2 linked regions of the Mus musculus genome follow. The protein of the gene in region 1 purifies or fractionates together with the protein of each later gene. This does not show direct contact. Links are inferred from orthologs where the notes say so. Each region holds a gene or a part of one and is shown on either strand. Other genes may lie near its edges.

What was found. The genes of interacting proteins can lie anywhere in the genome.
Region 2: the proteins of Strn (region 1) and Cttnbp2 purify together in Homo sapiens (affinity purification with mass spectrometry; 3 studies listed by BioGRID and IntAct, with this or other methods). This does not show direct contact. The link is inferred for Mus musculus from reciprocal best matches to the Homo sapiens genes STRN and CTTNBP2.

The regions. Positions count from the first base shown.
Region 1 is NC_000083.6:78,652,170-78,657,136, reverse strand, and holds part of Strn (striatin), read left to right. Parts: intron 1-121; coding exon 122-229; intron 230-1,301; coding exon 1,302-1,388; intron 1,389-1,477; coding exon 1,478-1,647; 3' UTR 1,648-4,967. UniProt on the Homo sapiens protein: Calmodulin-binding scaffolding protein which is the center of the striatin-interacting phosphatase and kinase (STRIPAK) complexes.
Region 2 is NC_000072.6:18,420,387-18,425,353, forward strand, and holds part of Cttnbp2 (cortactin-binding protein 2), read right to left. Parts: intron 3,596-4,967; coding exon 3,445-3,595; intron 632-3,444; coding exon 380-631; intron 1-379. UniProt on the Homo sapiens protein: Regulates the dendritic spine distribution of CTTN/cortactin in hippocampal neurons, and thus controls dendritic spinogenesis and dendritic spine maintenance.

The sequences.
Region 1 (4,967 bases):
AGCTGGAGACTGGGTAATTGACTGCAGCCAGACTAAAGTTGAATTATTTTTTTTTCTGCCTTTGTTTGGAAAAAAAAAATACTTTGACTAATTTGAATCATTTTCAATTTTTCCTTTTTAGCATCCAGTTCTTCCTGCCAAATAAACAGAGTCATCAGCCATCCTACCCTCCCAATCAGCATCACTGCTCATGAAGACAGGCACATCAAGTTCTACGATAACAATACAGGTAAGAGCTTTCTGAGACTGGATCGTGCTGAAGCCACACCCACTGCAACAAGAACCCAAAGCAGCCATGAGCACCTACTAAAAGCAAGCTAGTTGTGGGTCTTGATGGCCGCTCCACGGTCACGGAGTAGTCATGGAAGCACGCTGCAGGCCGCTTCTGTTCACTTAATGTCTTCTCAGATGGTTCCATACAGTATGGGATGGTTTTTAGTTTGTTTAATAGTAAGCATATTCTAAAGCCACGCACCTAGGCGCTGGTAGAAATGGTCTGTAACAGTCCATGAGTAGTGAGCATTAACAGAAACTTGTGGAGGCAGAGGCCGGTGATGGGTTTTACTTTAAGTTGTTCAGTTATCAAACAGCTGTGCTCTGTTGCTCAATATTAAATAGCTGGATGTAGCGTTGTATGTGAAAATCCTCTAGTCATTTGTTCTGTGTGGTTTTTTTCATGGTCTGATCTTTTGTGTGTTATAGTAAAATGTGAGTTCTAACTGAGCAGGGCACGGGGCTTTCCCAGTTCTGAGTGGACTGCATTTCAGCAGTCTATGGTAAAGTACACAAAGAGCTGAAGTGGGAAGAACTGGGGGGGGGGGGAGGCCATGTTTCTCTGGCTGTCTGCCTTTTTAATATAGTCACTCGTTGTGTTTAGTGGCTAGCAATTTAATCTTCATAATTCTTTTCTGTGTTATTTTGCCAAAAGTCTGGCCATGTTTTCTTTCTCTTCTTTTGTCCCTTTGAATTTGAGCTTTCTGTCCTCAGACACTCATGTAGTTTGTAACTAAAGGGTGCTCAAGAAGACTAGTAATGTCTAACTCATAGTTAGTGAACATGAAAAGCTCACTGAGTTTGTTGTGGCTTAAAAGACCGTCTCATATGAAATTTAACTGGCTTTTATTTTTTGTTATTAACATGACCAAAAGCAAGACAGGGAGATGTGCTGTTTGAACTGTGGAAAAGGTTCATCCATGAAGTACATAGCCAGGGATGACTTGGGAAACCAGGGCAGGGTGGAAGTCGGCATGTGGTTAAGCTGAGGAAAGCCATCAATTGAGTAACAATTTCTTTTTCCAAAGGCAAACTGATCCACTCGATGGTGGCCCACCTGGAAGCTGTGACAAGCCTGGCAGTTGACCCGAATGGCCTCTACTTGATGTCTGGCAGTAAGTACACTAGCTGTGGTGATATGTTTGTCCTTACCGTCTTCATGGGGAGGTAACCGTTCCTTTCACCTTCCTTTCTTTTGCAATAGGTCATGACTGTTCAATACGCTTATGGAATTTAGAAAGTAAGACATGTATCCAGGAGTTCACAGCTCATCGGAAGAAATTTGAAGAATCGATCCACGATGTAGCGTTCCACCCTTCCAAATGCTATATAGCCAGCGCTGGAGCCGACGCCCTGGCTAAGGTCTTTGTATGATGTGGCACAGCAGCTTCACCTTGTAGCTCTTTATAAAAGTCAACTGCACAACAGCGATACGGAAGACCAGGGCAAGAATCAGCTCGCCCTGCCCTTTTGTTCTGCTGAGGGAGCACAGAGAACTCTGTTAAAAGTATAGTTTTGCAATTCGTATACTGTTTTCTAAAATTAAGGTTTGTTCAGGTTGCTGCAAGCTCAGCCAAACCTGTGAGCCTGAAACTTTGAGATTTCCCTCCAAAGAGGCACTTTTGTTTCTGAAGTTGTTGTCATTCGCTAGGCTGGCCTGAGCGGGACAGGTTTAGCTTCTTCTCCCTTTCAAGTAAACAGGGCATGCTGTCATGGGTAATTAGAGTTGAGCGCCGGGAACGAGTAGAGTGGAAACCTCACTGTACTTCCTGCCACCCGGAGACATCTACTAGACACGAGGTAGTCAGTTGTACAGCTCTTTCTGCTCCACTAACCCCAGTGTGCAGAACGACCAGTCAGTGTTCAAGTGAGTTCCTACCACAGCTGTCCTTTCAGCCGCTCTCATAAAGCACATGGCAAAACATTTCACCTGCTAGGAGGAAACGATGCAATAATGTTAAGTGTATTACTATTCAGAAATGCTAAACAAATACTTAATTTGCAAGCAGATTTCTATATTGTACTACAGTTTTGAAAGTAGATGTGGAAGCATTCTAAAGTGAACTGTGAAGCACTCACAGTCAGGAGTGGGTACTAGAGCCTGCTTTACTAAAGGTTTGAACTCACCCAGGTTTGAGATCCTGTTTATTTTTAAGGGCAAACAGGGCATATTTCTATAATTTGTCTAAAAATTCACCTTGTTAATGTGGCATTTATAGTGCTAGCGTCATCATTTCATATTGATAAACTTACTTCCTAGTGATTCTGAAAAAGGGGAAAACTATTTATTAGCATCCATTTCCCAACACCCACATAACTAGTTCAAGTAAGCCTTGCTGTTTCTTCCCTGCCTTTCACGGTCATGTTGTCTGATGCTTACCATGAACAGTTTATAACTGGTCTGTCATGTAGTCCAAAGCATGTGGTCACTGCAGGCAGCTGCTTTTGCAGCCACGCCTAGTAGAGTAGTGCACCCCAGAAAGTCCTCTACTAGTGTCTCGGGAAAGAACTCTGTAGAGATCTAGATGGAGATGTTAGTGCCTGTGATGTCTACAAAGTTCTTTCTTCTCCCCACTCCCCATTGTTTAATTGGAATGCATGTTTTAATGAACAGTTGATCAATACTCTATCTAGAGAAAACCATGTCTTAAAATGCCAGCTCTCGCATTTATCTGTGAGCCGAATGTGGTCAGCTTTTGGGAGTCTCAGAATCCTACTGACACACCTAGGGCAGTCTTCACACCCTCTCTGCTTTTGTCCTAAATGACAGAGACCACTATAAATACTAAATTCAAATTAATCTCCACCTTTTTACCAAAATGTGTTCATCATAGGCTCTCTGTCTTAAAAATATTATACCCATAGATATTATGACCCATTAAACTAATTCCATTGCCATAGCCGTGGCTTTTCTGGTGATCTGTTCTTTGAAGTAGTATTCTTACGGTGATGTGGCTAATAATTGACTTCTTAAAAATTTCTGCTCATCTATCTTTAGAATTCTCCAGTGCAGGCAAACTTTTCTTACATTATAAGATTCGTGTTGAACGTCCCTGATTACTCTATAGACATGCTGTAGCACAACTACAGTTTATCTTTGTGCTTTGGTTAACAAGCAGGCTTTAGAGATTCACTGGTATATGCAAGTGAATTGAGTTACACATAACTACCAAGGAAAGCTCACATTTTCATGTATAGAGTTTTATGCTGTGACAGGTAAACTCTTCCATACTTTGTAAAGTGAACAAAAGGATTTATTAACATTTGTAGAATATTAGAAGATTCCAGTCGTAAGTGGCATATTTATGATGGCTGAGCACAGTTACTGCTTCAGTGTACGTCTTACTCTTGTCATCAACACTCCAGATCCCAGGAGAGTCTGCCCTGTTCATTCTGTGCCTCGTAATTGAAGTTTTCTTGTTAATGGGTGGGACACAATCCTAAGATAGGCAAAGTGTAGTACAAATGACAGAACTGTTGAAAGTTGTTTAGGAAGTATGTTTTGTGCCATTGAAGACTGCACGGAGAAAGAGAGCCTTCTAAACTAGCCCTGTTTGCTGTCAACCTAGAAATGAGCCAACTGTCTTCCAACTGGATGGTAGCATGTACGTGTGTTTGACTTTCCCCATCCTATTGAAAAATCACAAGATGAACAGTTTCAAGATTCAAAACCCTTGAAATACTTTCATGGTTATTTACCAGATTGTAAATGTTTTGAGTGAGCTGTTTTGGAATAATATGAAAATCAGCAGGTAGGTTAGGTCCCTGCCTTATTTTCAGTGCTGTGGATGTGTCTCCGGGAGCTTACAGTACTTCTCAAAATGCAGCTGTCACTTGGAGCTCATTTGCTACTCAAACCATAGACAAATAGGTGATGGGATGACCTTCAGTATTTTTCTATTGAACAAAGTTACCAATTTTTGCCATTAAACAGATAATTAGTTATGCAAAGTATTTAGCTTTTGTAATCATTTAGTTGTAACTAAAAGGGGGAAATTGAGCTGTATCACTGATAATGAACTTTGTGAGAAATTATTTGTTTATCTGACTTCCATTCCTTCAGTATTCTTGCTATAAATTTCTTTTGGAGATAATGATTCTTTATTTGAAAGATGTCTAAAATGTATGTATATTTTATAAATATATATTATATATATTATAGGGATATATATAATATATAGACGATATATATCTATCTAAACCATGGGTGCATTTTACTGTTTGTGTCTTCACTTTGGGAGGTAGTATACTCATAAGTTGATGAGTCTGACGAGTGTTGTGCTGTTTGCTTTTACAGTATAATATATAGTTCCAAGTGTTTAAATACTGTATATACTATATTCATTATAGGCTAGCATGCTTGTTTTAAAGACTGTCATTCTAGTTTATTAAAATCTGAATGTAAGAAAACCTGGCTATTCAAATGTGAATTGAAAAATTCCATTCTCAGAACTGAACTGTTTCCATTGAACATTCAAGCTTTTTGACAAAATGTGTCATCGAGAAGGCAATAGCTAGAAAGTGAGAGGTGCCTTTAAAAAAAAAACCTACAAACGCAGCCTTACAGTGAGGGTGAAGACTGAATCTGTGTCGGGGTGGGGGGAAGAGAGAGTGTGAGAGATTGTGTGTGTGTGTGTGTGTGTGTGTGTGTGTGTGTGTGTGTGTGTGTGTGTGTGTGTGTACACCAGTCTGTG
Region 2 (4,967 bases), on another chromosome or scaffold:
GTCTTAGCTATCAGGAGTGTCGTGATCCTCCCTCTAGGCAACTAGTATGAACTAATTACACTAATATTCACCTTTCCATCCTAAGGCAGAGGAGATAAAAATATTTGATTTTACTGTTGTATGCCTTATAAATAAATATAAGATTAAAAAAATAAAATAAATAAAAGATTTTAAATAATGAAAGTTTTCTCATGTCCCTGACTGTAATTATCTTTTAGAGAGAAATGAGAGTCAGTTTGTAGCAGCAGCTCCTGGCCTTCTGCAAAGGTATTACTCCATTTCGATTTACTCAGTCTAAACACACCAGATCAAATACAAATGACTCTGCCACTCATCAAATTTACAACTGGGCAAAGGGGCCGGCTGCTCCCAGACGTACCTTGAAACCTTTGGAGGCAGCAATGTGGGCAGCAGTCCAGCCTTCTTTGTCAGCGTGGTTAATTAGGTCTGCAGGAACCACAGGCTTAGATGGACCCGTAGGGCTCTCTCCTCCATTCAAGCTGAACAAGCCTGACTTGGGCTCTTCTGAACTCAAAGAGTTTCCATGGGCTCGCACTCTATGGTACATCAGGAGCTTGAGGCTGTCCACATTACCAGTGTCCACAGCTGCGTGAATTGGCGTCCAGCCATCCTGAAAATACATTGACCAGGCGGGAAAGGTTGAGAAAAACATTAATGGTGAGAACTGTGTTATTTTGAGTCCACCTCTAAATTCTCTTGGTCACAAACCACCTCATCAGGAAATGGAGGCAGTCCACTCCTGAATATTCCTGATGAACTTAAGTTCTCTCACTTTTCTTGGTGACATTAATTCCCACAACTGTGATTCATGTTTGTTGATAAATAATCATTTTCACCTAACAGTTACCTTCTGGAGCGAGTAGGTCCTGCTTAGTCTCCTCAGTATTAATGCCTGGCCAACCAGAATTTCAATTTAGTATTAAAAAATGGAGTGAACTTTATCCTAATGAGATTTTATATGCAATGATAATGGTATTAATTAATTAGTAATGCACTGAAAAACACTGCAGCAAACCAGTGTTACTAACTGAAATGATCTGAATATTTTAATGCCAAGGATTCCAGAAGGAAAGATTCTAGGTAAAAAGGAAAAGGTAGCAACGTGGAAAAAGCAAAGCCCAAATACGTTCATTAGCTATCTATGGGCCTGTGCTCAGGAACTTCTGAGTGTGGCGGGATTCCAATCAGTGTTGGAAAATGGTTCAATTAAGATCACTGAGGCCATTTTCTAGAATGAATTGCTCTGCCCCACCCCCTTGTCCACTTGGCTGGTTTCTTGAGTCATCATAAGCTCACGGCAGTGGAGCAACCTCAATACCCTCTGAGACTGCAGTTCCCCAAGCCTATCTCCAGATAAAGGGAACCTGACCTCTGGTGGGGAGGCCCCACCTGCCTAGCAATCATGCCCAGCAAGGGAAAGGAATGAATTTAAATTTGACAAGCATGGTTCTAGGGGGAAAAAAATCCCCAGTCCCCTCTCAGACTCTCATTCTGACACACAGGTGGGTCTGCCTACAACATAGAAACTCTTGTTTGTCTTTAAAGATTTTATCAAATAATTGATTTGTGTTGGGGCTTTGGTTTTTGGTTTTTGTTTTTGTTTTTGCCTTTATATTGTTGTTTTAAGATCATTTTCATATAGAATTCCATATTGTTATACTAAATATATTTCAGTAAGCTATAAAACTTTTTGTTTTTTAATATGTGCTTTGAGAAAAGGTCTTACTATGCATCTATCCAAGAACTTGATATTGTTTTTTGCCTCCCAAGTGCTGGAATTAGAGGCATTCAGCACCACTGCACTGGTTTTTGTTTTGTTTTGTTTTGTTTTGTTTTGTTTTGTTTTGTTTTTATAGTGATGATGTAAAGACTAAGACTATTAGCCAGTAAGTAAGGCACCATCTCAATGTGTACTAAGTACTGTGAGCTTTTCCTAAGCTGACCCTTGAGGACTTTTTCTCTCCTTCTGGATTTCATGCCAGTAAAATTCAGTTGACCAAGATAAAAACCACACAGGCAGTTAGTTAACTAGAACCGGGCATGATCTGCCTTGCAGTCAGGAACAGCAGATCCCTGCTTTCTTCTGCAGGGGGATGACCCCTACTTAGGCCACAGAGAAGAAGTGCCCATTAGCTTCCTAATTTACAAATTCCTAACAGTGTTTCTAGGAAAAAAAAACAAGACCAGACAAAAACCTTTCAACATTCCACTTTCTCTTACTACCTAAGCATTAAAAGGCATAAGACATAATTACACACCCACCCCAGGTTACTTATCAATTATACAGTGTGTTGTCGTATTGTGTAAACAATCTGCTCAGCCCAACAAAGCTAGCTTCCGGGCGCTGATCTGCGTTCTCAGCAGGATGCTGTTTAACCTTCCATGTTGAACTTCTTACTCAGGTTAATGATGCAAAATTCATTTATCTTCTAGCAATAAGATAGCATTTTGTAGTGAATACATCCAAACATCCATTTCTTGGATAAAATATATAAAATAAAGAAATGTGAAACTAAACTACCCTTTTCAGATTTTCTTTTTAAAAGGAGGATCTGGGGAGATGGCCAGATCCTCTTTGGGAACTAGGCATGCAAGTGGCTTAGACATGCCTATAAGCAAAACACTCATACATGTACAATAAGAACTTTAATTTAAAAAACTAAAATTTATTAAAAACTTGACATCGAGTAAAAATAATACTGGAGATTTGTTTTGTTTTTAAGCTCTAACAATAATTTACAATGGAAAATACTCATAGCTGGCCTTGTTACCTTTGCTAATATTAATACCTAATGATTGGTTCTTGTCTGAGAAATTACATAATGGCATCAAAGAATAGTATTTGTTCAATAATAAAAACTTACACGTTCATTGTCTTCTCTAATTCTGAAATACTAAGAGCACCAAAATTCCCCTCTTTTTATGTTTAGTCTCAGAATTTGAATGACTTGCGAGGGAAAACGGACCAGAATGTTAATTAGCAAGGGAGAGACTCAGAGGTCACTTAAAGCAGGATCCTAAAGCGAAAGCACAACGGAAGAGTGGGTATCCATGCACAGTTGTCCTTCAGCATTTGTGGGAGGCTAGTTTCAAAGCTCCACCGTGCCTTCTTTACCATGGCCTGTGAATTTCTAGAGATGGTCACATCCCTCATACAAAACACCGTAGCATTTACATAGTGCCTACACGCATCCTTCCACACACTTAAGTCTCCATCCTACTTATAATGTTGTCTACAGTGCGAAAGCAATGTAGCCATATACTGCTTTCTACAGGGAACAATAACAAAGAAAAGAATCTGTACCTGTCATATGTATGCATGTATAGTAGATATATGCGAGCTATAGTATATATATATGCCTAGTTTTCAGACACAATATAAATAACATATGTCGGGGAACACTCTCCCAAAAGGGTACTTACTCTGGTTTTTATGCTCCGGTCAGTGCCAGCTTCCAGCAGGAGTTTGATACATTCCTTATTTCCATTTTTACAGGCCAAGTACAAAGGTGTCTGTCCTCCAGCAGCAGAGTGATTAATGTTGGCATTGTATGCAGTTAGTAATTCTATACATCTGTACATAGAATTATGATTAGTTACATACAGATGAGGCATCACCTGGAAAGGGCTCCCTGAGCAGGTATTAAATCCAGATAACATGCATGACCAAGCATTCATATTGACGTGTCAATTATTTCATTCAGACCTTCTGTACATTATTGGCTTGCTATCACTTTCATATGACTAAAAACTAAACTTTAGTCTCAAAATTTATGAAAACATAAAATTGTCCATTTACAAATGTTCAAACCTAGTTCAGGATCCTTCTTACCAACTTTTACAGGAGTTGTCCTTGGAACAGGTTTGATTTGTTAGGTTAAATGTTATACCGTACTTGGTATACATTACATAGTATTTGTGATTCAAAATGGTTTTTGCCTTGACAAAAAACAAACAAACAAAAAAAAAAAAACAAAAAAAAAAACAAAAAAAAAACCCCAAAAAAACACATGAGGCTGCTGAATCATTCTGTGATTTTTTTTTTTATTCACTCAAGAAAATGATTATAAATAGCATAGACAGCCGAGCACTGTGTGCTTCCTCTATAAAAAGGAGCAGGGGGCTGGGAAAAGGGCTGCCTTGAGAGAAGGATGGAAGAGGCTGTCTCTTTGGGTAGGAGCTGGCTTCTGAGGACACAGCTACACAGAAACACACTCAAGAAGAAAAGGAGGCCATGCTGCGACTGCGACTTTGTGATTAGTTCAACACAGAGATAGAATGTGGACAAAGTGAAGGATTTGCCTTTGGGGAGTTCATTTTTCTTTCAGCATTTGGCTTACATAAGTTATTACTTTTTTTTTTTTTAAGTAACACGCTGACATATCTGTGTGACGCAATCTTTAAATTTACTGATTCCTGAATTTCCACAGGGTTTTGTTTTTTTTTGTTTTTTTGTTTTTTTTTGTCCAAAGCTATCCATGCTTCTGTACTGTGACAGTGACATCCTCCAAGCACGGAGCTTACAGATGGCCTGGTAACATGAAGGTGACGGACACGGAAACCCAAGCCAGCAGGAGAGATCTGTTCAGTGGGACACAGAATATAACCAGAAGGTAACAGCAAAAAGTAGCTCTGATGTGAGTTCCCAAACTGAAGCCAGGCTGCTGAGACGCATGGCAGACACATACGAGCAATGACTCTAGACACTGAAGGCTGCCTCCGGAATACTGGAGAACACACTTAGAATTAACAGTGCTGATGTGAATTCTAAAAAGCTTTATTTTTAAGAATGGTATAGTTTGAGCTGGGGAAGTAGCTCAGCTGTTGAAGGCTAAGGCTTATAACCAAAATGTCATGGATGCTGTAATTTGTGCAAGACTATTTCTCTCTGGACAGATGGATCTGAAAGGTGGCTGCAGTATTTATTCCTCACAACCTGCCAGCTC